2 linked regions of the Rattus norvegicus genome follow. The protein of the gene in region 1 binds, or shares a complex with, the protein of each later gene. Links are inferred from orthologs where the notes say so. Each region holds a gene or a part of one and is shown on either strand. Other genes may lie near its edges.

Region 1 (3,560 bases):
ATGACTGGCAGTTGGTCTGTCTCAGTCCTTCTTTTCTTTTCTCTCTCTAAGACTTCGTGCAGTCTAATCACTTGTCCAGGTAGAAGTGACACGTGTTGAGGAACTGACAACTGAAATCAGTTAAAACAGTAGGCAAACTAAAACTGCAGCTGAATAGCAATACTGTCTTTAATAGAGAGGAGCCTATGTGTAGTGACTGACTATCTAGCCACTGCCAGAGACAAACGGACAGGACAGTAAATAGAAGATTCCAGTCTAACATGGGCATTACAGTACTGCCCCTATACCAACTAGAACCTGCACAGAGTATTTACTTGCTTGCTTGCTTGGTTTAGTTAGGTTATATGTTTTGTTTTGTAACAAACTGTCTCTCTATGTGGTCCTGGCTGTCCTAGAACTCACTCTGAACACCAAATTGATACCAAATGCACAGAGATCTACCAGGTGCTGGGAATAAAGGTGTGTTAACACCATGCCTGGTCGAGATCATATTTGATCTGGTCTCAGGGCAAAGTGCATACACTTTTTACTATGAGCTAAGTAGCAACTAATCTCTCAATCTTCCTTTTCTTTTTGGGGGGGGGGCGGGCGAGTATTTTTTTGTTTTTTTGTTTGTTTTTTTTTTGTGGGGGGGGATTTTAAGATAGGGTCTCTCTGTATGGCCCTGGCTCTTCTGGAACTTGCTCCGTAGACCAGGTATTTGCCACCAACACTCAGCTAATCTCTCATTTCTCATCCTGAACTCAGATACCTCTGCAATGCCTAGGAAGTTTAGGATCTCCAGGAGATTCCTTATTCTCACACTAGTTAACTTGGAAAAGCTCCACACTATTGTGACAACATGGATTTGGTGGGCATAGGATCAACAGGTTTACACTGTGCTCTGTGTCTAGCCACCCACTCACATTTGATTCTTCTCTGCATATTAGTTTTGTTGTTCTCTAGAAATGTGTTTTGAGTTCCATTATCCATGTAAAGTCTGGTTAATTGTATCCACATCTCAAAATTTAGTTGGGAACAACCTATGCTTTCTGGGGAAGTATGGTACAACATTTTTCTAACTGTCATGTTAGCTAGCCATGGGGGCAGCCATGTCTTATAATTGGCCACCAGAACAAGAGTACTCATCAGGTGATATATGTGCGTGCATGCGTGTGTGCATGCGTCCAGTCCCATGCTTAGTTACTATTTCATTAATTCCTATTGTTGTGTATTCATTGTTAAGACTCAGAATGAGGCTCTTGGGACTCAGGAATGAGGATTGTAGTCTGTCAAATAAAGCAACAAGGGCAGCCCATGATCCCTGGGCTCCTCTGCTAAAGGCCTAAGAACATTATGGTAGTTGGTTCTCTTGTTACTACTACCTTTTCTAGCAGTGTGGTTTTGATTGAATCACCCAACTATGTCCTAGTAAATTGTTCTCATATCCAAGTCTAGTTCCTCATTATGCCGTTTTGGAGCAGTATCAGAACAGTGGAACATTTTAACAAATCATTTACAGACTGTGAGTTCATGCCATGCCCTAAACATTTACAGAGCAGAAAATCATAGATGAAGGTGATCTCTCTCATCCCTTGCCCACCAGTACTAATTACTTCAGAGTAGTTATCATAAGGTGAAATAGGCTGTGCTTAGTAACAGCACTCATAACCCACCAGATAAAATGAGATAAAAAATATGACTTTTAGAAACAAAAGCATGGATTTCTATCTGCCTTTTCTAGTTTCTACATCCCAGCCACTTTAATGTACATGGTTGCAGCAGGTGTTAACAACTAGTTTACAACCAGGTGGAGCAGCAGACTTTAATGAGCTTCTGTGGGCATGGTGACTCACAGCGCTAATCTTATCACCTGGGAGGTGGAGACAGGAGAATCATAAGTTTGCAACCACCATGGGCTATTGACACCTTGTCTCAGCAAAAGAAGCAGATGGCCCCCTTACCTCTGTTACTGTAAGAATGAAGCCCCTCCATTCTTCCCCACTTTCTGTGTTTTCTGTCTGGAGATAAAGCAGAAAGCACGAAATTAATGAATGATCTGTATTAACTTTAAATAACAAGAATTTCACTGGATTAATTTCTGACAATGTAGGTTTGCCATCAAAGGCTAGCAAGATCTCGGGTCAGAGTGGTGGCTCTTTGGCTAAAGCATTTGCCAAGTGAGCATGAAGGCCAGAATTTGGACCTCTAGAACCAAGAAAAATGCCAGATGCACGTGGCAGCTTAACTGTCATCCCTGTGCCTAGAAGGAGCAGATGGAGGATCTCTAGAGCAAGCTGGCTAGCTACATTCGTAAAATTGGGAAGCCGTGGGGTCCTTGTGAAAGGTGTTGTCTCTATGTATAGGATGGAGAGTGAGTGAGAAAAATGTCTGCTGTCAATTTCTGGCCCCCTCATACATGAAGAGAGAGAGAGAGAGAGAGAGAGAGAGAGAGAGAGAGAGAGAGAGAGAGAGAAGCAAGATTTTCTTCTGTTCAGGAACTTTGTTAAATAGGATCATTTGAAAAATTTAAACTGCATAAAATCAGCTTCATGGAGAAATACTTCAATTTTTTTACTTAGAATTAACATATTTATCATGAAATATTTCAGTCCCGTTTTCTTTTATTGGCAAGCAAAAATATAGGTGACTGGAAGCGGGATTGCTCGGTGAATGAAGCATTTGTCACACAAGTGTCAAGACCTGAATTCAAGCCTCGAGAAGTCGCAGAAAGTTGGGCACACTGAGACATATAATCCTAGTGTGCCTCTGGCAAAATAGGAGGTAGAGAGAGGAGAATCTCTAGAAGCTATTCCCAGCTACCTAGCATTCTCAGAGTCAAACAACAACGTGACCGTAACCCAGAGTGCATCTATCTATGCACTCCACAGGTATTACCTCCTTAATCATATTGAAGAAAGGTTATGTGTGGCCATTGCTTGCTAGGTTTCTTCACTGAGGTCCCAAATGATCCTCACTAGAAATAAAAATGGAACCGTCTTTGCTGATGTTCCACATCACTAAACCAAAGCTAAATGTTATCTTGCCTTCTTAAGAGATCAGTTAAAAAAAATAACAACCACATTTCCCATACAGATCAACTTCAATTTGTTTCCTCTGTGTCCGAAAAAAAGTAGCCCGAAGTAACCTGATCGCAATCATTTTTCTATCATTTGTCTTTCTGTTTTTACCTACAATGGAAGCTTTTGAAATGAGCAATTAACCTTACTACTGGTTTTAAATTTGTTTTAGTTTCCCTTGTCTGTAAAATTAATTTCTTCTTTTCAGCTAATTGAAATATTTTATTGTGTGGAATAAAACACATCTGGTTCTTTAGTAGGCTATAAAACGAATTAAGATCTTTCTATGTTATGGTGTTGTAAGTTTATCCTTTGAAAATCTTCAAGGAGACTTAGCAAGAGATGGCGTTTTTATTATGCTTTTTTTGTATCCGTTCAATTAAAAGATACATATCTTTAAGTGTAGATATTGGAAACAAAATAAAAATTCTCATTCTCGTGGAGTTTGAAATATAGCAAGGAAAAATAAATGGCTGGTGTGACAGTACATTTGATTTTGTT
Region 2 (4,174 bases), on another chromosome or scaffold:
GTTCTTAGCCATGTGACATGGGAAGGGACTTGGCCTGCAGCAAAGACTGAGGGATTATATTATCCGCCTGGTGACAGCTAGAGGGACATGTGGATTCCCTCTACTGACCCCAGTGGGGTCTGAGGGGTTACTGAAGTAGATACGCCTGATCTAGTGGAGCAGGCCAGCAGCACAAGAGGCTGAAGCAGGGATATTGGGAATTCCAAGGTCTATTTGGGCTATTTTGCAAGTTCAAATCCAATGAGACTCTGCCACAAAACATTTAAAGAGGCCTGGGGGGGGGCATTCTAGGACGTTTGCTTAGAATGCCCCCAGGGGGTGTGGCTTAGTGAGAGCAACTGCCTAGAATCTAGCAGCATGAGGCTGCGGACACGACTAGGAGTACCTGTCTGCTAGAATCACCCAGTAAAGAAGATAGACACTTACAGAGCCAAGGGCAAGGCACTGGGCTCCATTCCCAGCATGGGGGGGAGGGGGCAAGTTGGGGGAGGGTGAGCAGGAGAGATGGCTCAGAGATCAAGAGCGCGACGCTCTCCCAGAGGACTTAGGTTTGACTCTCAACGCCCACATGGCAGCTCACGACCATCTATAACTCCAGCTCCAGGGGACCCAACCCTGTCCCAGTCTTTGTGTGCACCGGGCATGAATGGGGTACACACGTGTACGTGCAAGCAAAGTGCTCACACACATACATTGTGGTTTGGAGACCGGGGGTCACTGCGTAGCCCTGATGGGTCTAACACCTCACTGCATAGACCAGGCTGGCCCGGAATTCACAGAATCTGGCTTGCGCCTGCCTCCCAGGCTGCATCGTCATATTCCAACTTACTTAAATATTTTAAATAATTAAAAAAGAAAGGTTGCTGGAGGGGGGGGGAGAGAGAGAGAGAGAGAGAGAGAGAGAGAGAGAGAGAGAGAGAGGAAGCACGCTTCCTCAATGGTAAGATGCCCGTGCTCCTGTGGGTAACCCCTCACTCACATCTTGTAATGAAACTACATGAAGCTAATGAAACTCATTGGGCCACTACCCCCATCCCCAACCCCCAAGAAAAGAACATAAAATCAGAAGGGGATTAGTTGGGAGAGAAGGGACCAGTGGGAATCACAAGAGAGGTGATTTTGGGGTGAACATGATCAAGGCACGTGCCATATGGAAAGGTCATAAGCCTATTAGTCTGCATAATTAATGCAGACGAATAAAAAAAGGTTCTGAATGGGGGCTGGTGAGATAGCTTGCAGGTAAAAGGCGCTTGCCTCCAAGTCTGATGATCTGAGTTCGATCCCCAGGACCCACATGGTGGTTGGTAAGAAGTAACTCTTGCAAGTTATTCTCTGGCCTACGCTGTGCCACACAGGCGCCCATCCATGCATACAGTAATTTAAAATGTATTAAAATATTGAGAAAAAAAAAAGAGCAGGTGTGAGTGCATGGGGTGCTTCTTGGACAGGGTCTGGGGCTTGCTTCGCACTTGGGGACCACTCCAAGCCTGTTTTCTTCCCAGGGAGCAAATGGAGGTTCAAAGAGGCGCATACTGTGTCCCAAAGAAACACCGGAAAAGACAGAAACCCAGCGCAGGCGCGGTGAATTCCCTTCATCCCATCGGATGCTCTTTACCCTGAAGGACAGCAGGCAGGCTGAGGGTGTGGGGGACAGAGGCTGGGGTTGCAGGAGGGGCAGCCCAGCAGTCTCGAAGAGCCCCAAGGGGCCAGGCAGGGCTAGCTGTGGGTGTGGGGGGGGGGACCGCCACAGCTCTGTGGCTCCGTGGGCCAAAATAGCTCAAAGGGAAGTGGGCAGTTTTCATATGAACAAAGCTTGCCTCTGAGGGCTGCATCAGAGCTTCTAACCTCAATGGCCCTTAGTGATCACTGCAGTCAAAAGGCTCATCCTTCGGGGAGCAGAGGCCACGAGGGTCCGCTTGGACGAGGCACAGGACGCACCTCACTCCTGGGATGGCTTTATTCATGGGGTGCTACTCTGAGGCCCGTGGTCTCAGCTGGATAACATTTCTGTAGTGTTTGTTTCCTTTGAGGCAGGGCCTCACAATGCAGCACAGCCTGGCCTTGAACTCACCGCCCTTCTACTGCAGGATTCCTAATGCCGTAATTACAGGAGCCTATAAAACCCAGGCTGACCAAATAATCTGGGGCTTTGAGTGAGGTGGAGAGAAGACTGAACAAACCTATTGGAGCCAGGGGCCAGGAAGATTGTTCGCGTCTATGTGAGTATGCCCGCGGGCCGAGGTCTGGCAGACCCTGGCCAACCTGAGCCACCCGTTCAGAACCAGAACCAAGGAGCCCAACAGTGCTACAAGGATTATCCGTCAGAAGGTAGAAGCCAGCTCAGGCCTGGATGGACTTCTGGGGATAGCAACTCCCCCCTGGGTGGGACAGGGACTGGGCACAGTTCCCCAAAGCATCCCAGGCCTGTGGCATTAGCCAATCCTCCATGGATGGGAGAGCCTCACATCTCTGGCTTTTGGCTGGCCCTTCCCATTGTTAGTGACAGAACCACCCTAGGGGGCTTCTTGGGAGTCTCAGAGGCTAGGGGTTTGGAAAGACAATGATAGATAAGTAGGCGCCTGGAGCTCCCGAGACAGACTTTCCGAGAGGGCCACAGGGCAAGGCCGGGGCGGAAGGTACCAGATGTCTTGGCTTCTCTTCAGTCTATTGCTAAGGGTCTTGGGGGCTGCAGTGCAAGGGACACCTGCTCAGCAGAGTACCCCTGGAGAAGACATACCTGAGAATGAGGGCTCCTCACCATGGCCACTTCATCCTGTGCCCGCACACCTGCCCAGGCTGATGCCAACAGCACCACTGACTCTGGCGAGCAGCGGGCAAGGCAGTTGGCTTCCTGTCACTACTGAATCATCCCTCTACATCCGCCTCGGCCAGACTACTAGGGTGGTTAATGACAAAGGGGGTGGGGCAAAGACAGAAAAAGATAGAGAGAGAAGAGCAGGGCATGGTGGTGCATGTCGTTAAATGCCTGCACTTGGGAAACAGAAGCAGGCAGGTCGGTCTCCGAGTTTGAGGCCAGCATGGTCTATATAGTTAGTTCCAGCCAGGACAACTGCACAGTGAGTCCCTGTCTCAAAAAAAGAAAAAAACCTCACTGGATAATGGCACTTTCCACCAAGCTGGACAACTTGAGTTCTATCACCTGAAACCATGTAGTGAGAGAAAATTGATACCGGCTAGGTCTCTGGATGCACGTGGACATGTATGCACAGACAGGCATATGTGCAGCGTGCATGTGGGCAAGCACGCACAGACATATATGCGCGCACACACACACACACACACACACACACACCCATGGGGGTGGAGGGGCAGAAAAGAAAACAGAAACAGACAGGAGAAATGGGAAGTGAGAGAAGGGCACGGAAGGACTGAAAAGCCCAGCACGCACAGCACATGCCCCGGTACAGAACCGGGTTACACGGAACATGGGGAAGGGAGGTGCACAGTGAGGGACAAGGGAGACTCAACTCGAAGAGTTCACATGGACACACAGAAGTGGACAGGACAGATGGAAAGTTTGGAGGGACACACACACACACACACACACACACACACACACACACACACCAGTCAGACACCACAGATGGGGAGATGCAGGTCAGGAGAGGATCATGAAGAGGGAGAGCCAGATGTAGACAGACAACCACGGGGAAGAGGAAACAAGAGTCCTTCCACAGGCATTGGAGAGACGGAGACTAGAGTGAATCCCATAGAACTATTACTTTAGGGCAGATAAAAAGATGAGGCACATGGGAGACAGGAAGACAGGCACAAAGATGGCAGACGGGACAAAGGACCATTGTTTCAGAGACAGTTGGATAGACAGACAAGCTGCCTCTGTGTGCATGTCTGTGGGTGGTGGTGGAAGTCGAGAAGTCAGTCTTGGTGTCTTCCACTTTGTTCTCTCTCTCTCTCTCTCTCTCTCTCTCTTTTTTAAGAACAGATTCAGATCCCATTACAGATGGTTGTGAGCCATCATGTGGTTGCTGGGATTTGAACTCAGGACCTCTGGAAGAGCAGTCAGGTGCTCTTAACCGCTGAGCCATCTCTCCAGCTCCTGAAGTTGGTTCTTATTCCACCACGTGGGTCTCAGGGATTGAGCTCAGACTGTGTTGACAGAAAATGCCTCTATTCACTGAGCCATCTTGCCACG

The links. The genes of interacting proteins can lie anywhere in the genome.
Region 2: the proteins of Stap1 (region 1) and Lat2 are in contact, whole or in part, in a crystal structure (PDB 3MAZ), measured with the Homo sapiens proteins. The link is inferred for Rattus norvegicus from reciprocal best matches to the Homo sapiens genes STAP1 and LAT2. Residues at the interface, in NP_001304698.1 of Homo sapiens: Arg184, Arg203, Pro204, Gly205, Ser206, Ser212, Ile215, Gln217, Ile219, Lys225, His226, Tyr227, Lys228, Glu239, Leu240, Glu241, Tyr255, Phe256, Glu259, Thr260, Arg261, Asn263, Leu264; in NP_054865.2 of Homo sapiens: Asn134, Ser135, Tyr136, Glu137, Asn138, Val139, Leu140, Ile141, Lys143.

What each region holds. Positions count from the first base shown.
Region 1 is NC_086032.1:22,322,491-22,326,050, forward strand, and holds part of Stap1 (signal-transducing adaptor protein 1), read right to left. Parts: intron 2,001-3,560; coding exon 1,944-2,000; intron 111-1,943; coding exon 1-110. UniProt on the Homo sapiens protein: In BCR signaling, appears to function as a docking protein acting downstream of TEC and participates in a positive feedback loop by increasing the activity of TEC.
Region 2 is NC_086030.1:27,739,357-27,743,530, reverse strand, and holds the start of Lat2 (linker for activation of T-cells family member 2 precursor), read right to left. Parts: upstream 2,817-4,174; 5' UTR 2,762-2,816; coding exon of another isoform or gene 2,738-2,761; intron 1-2,737. UniProt on the Homo sapiens protein: Involved in FCER1 (high affinity immunoglobulin epsilon receptor)-mediated signaling in mast cells.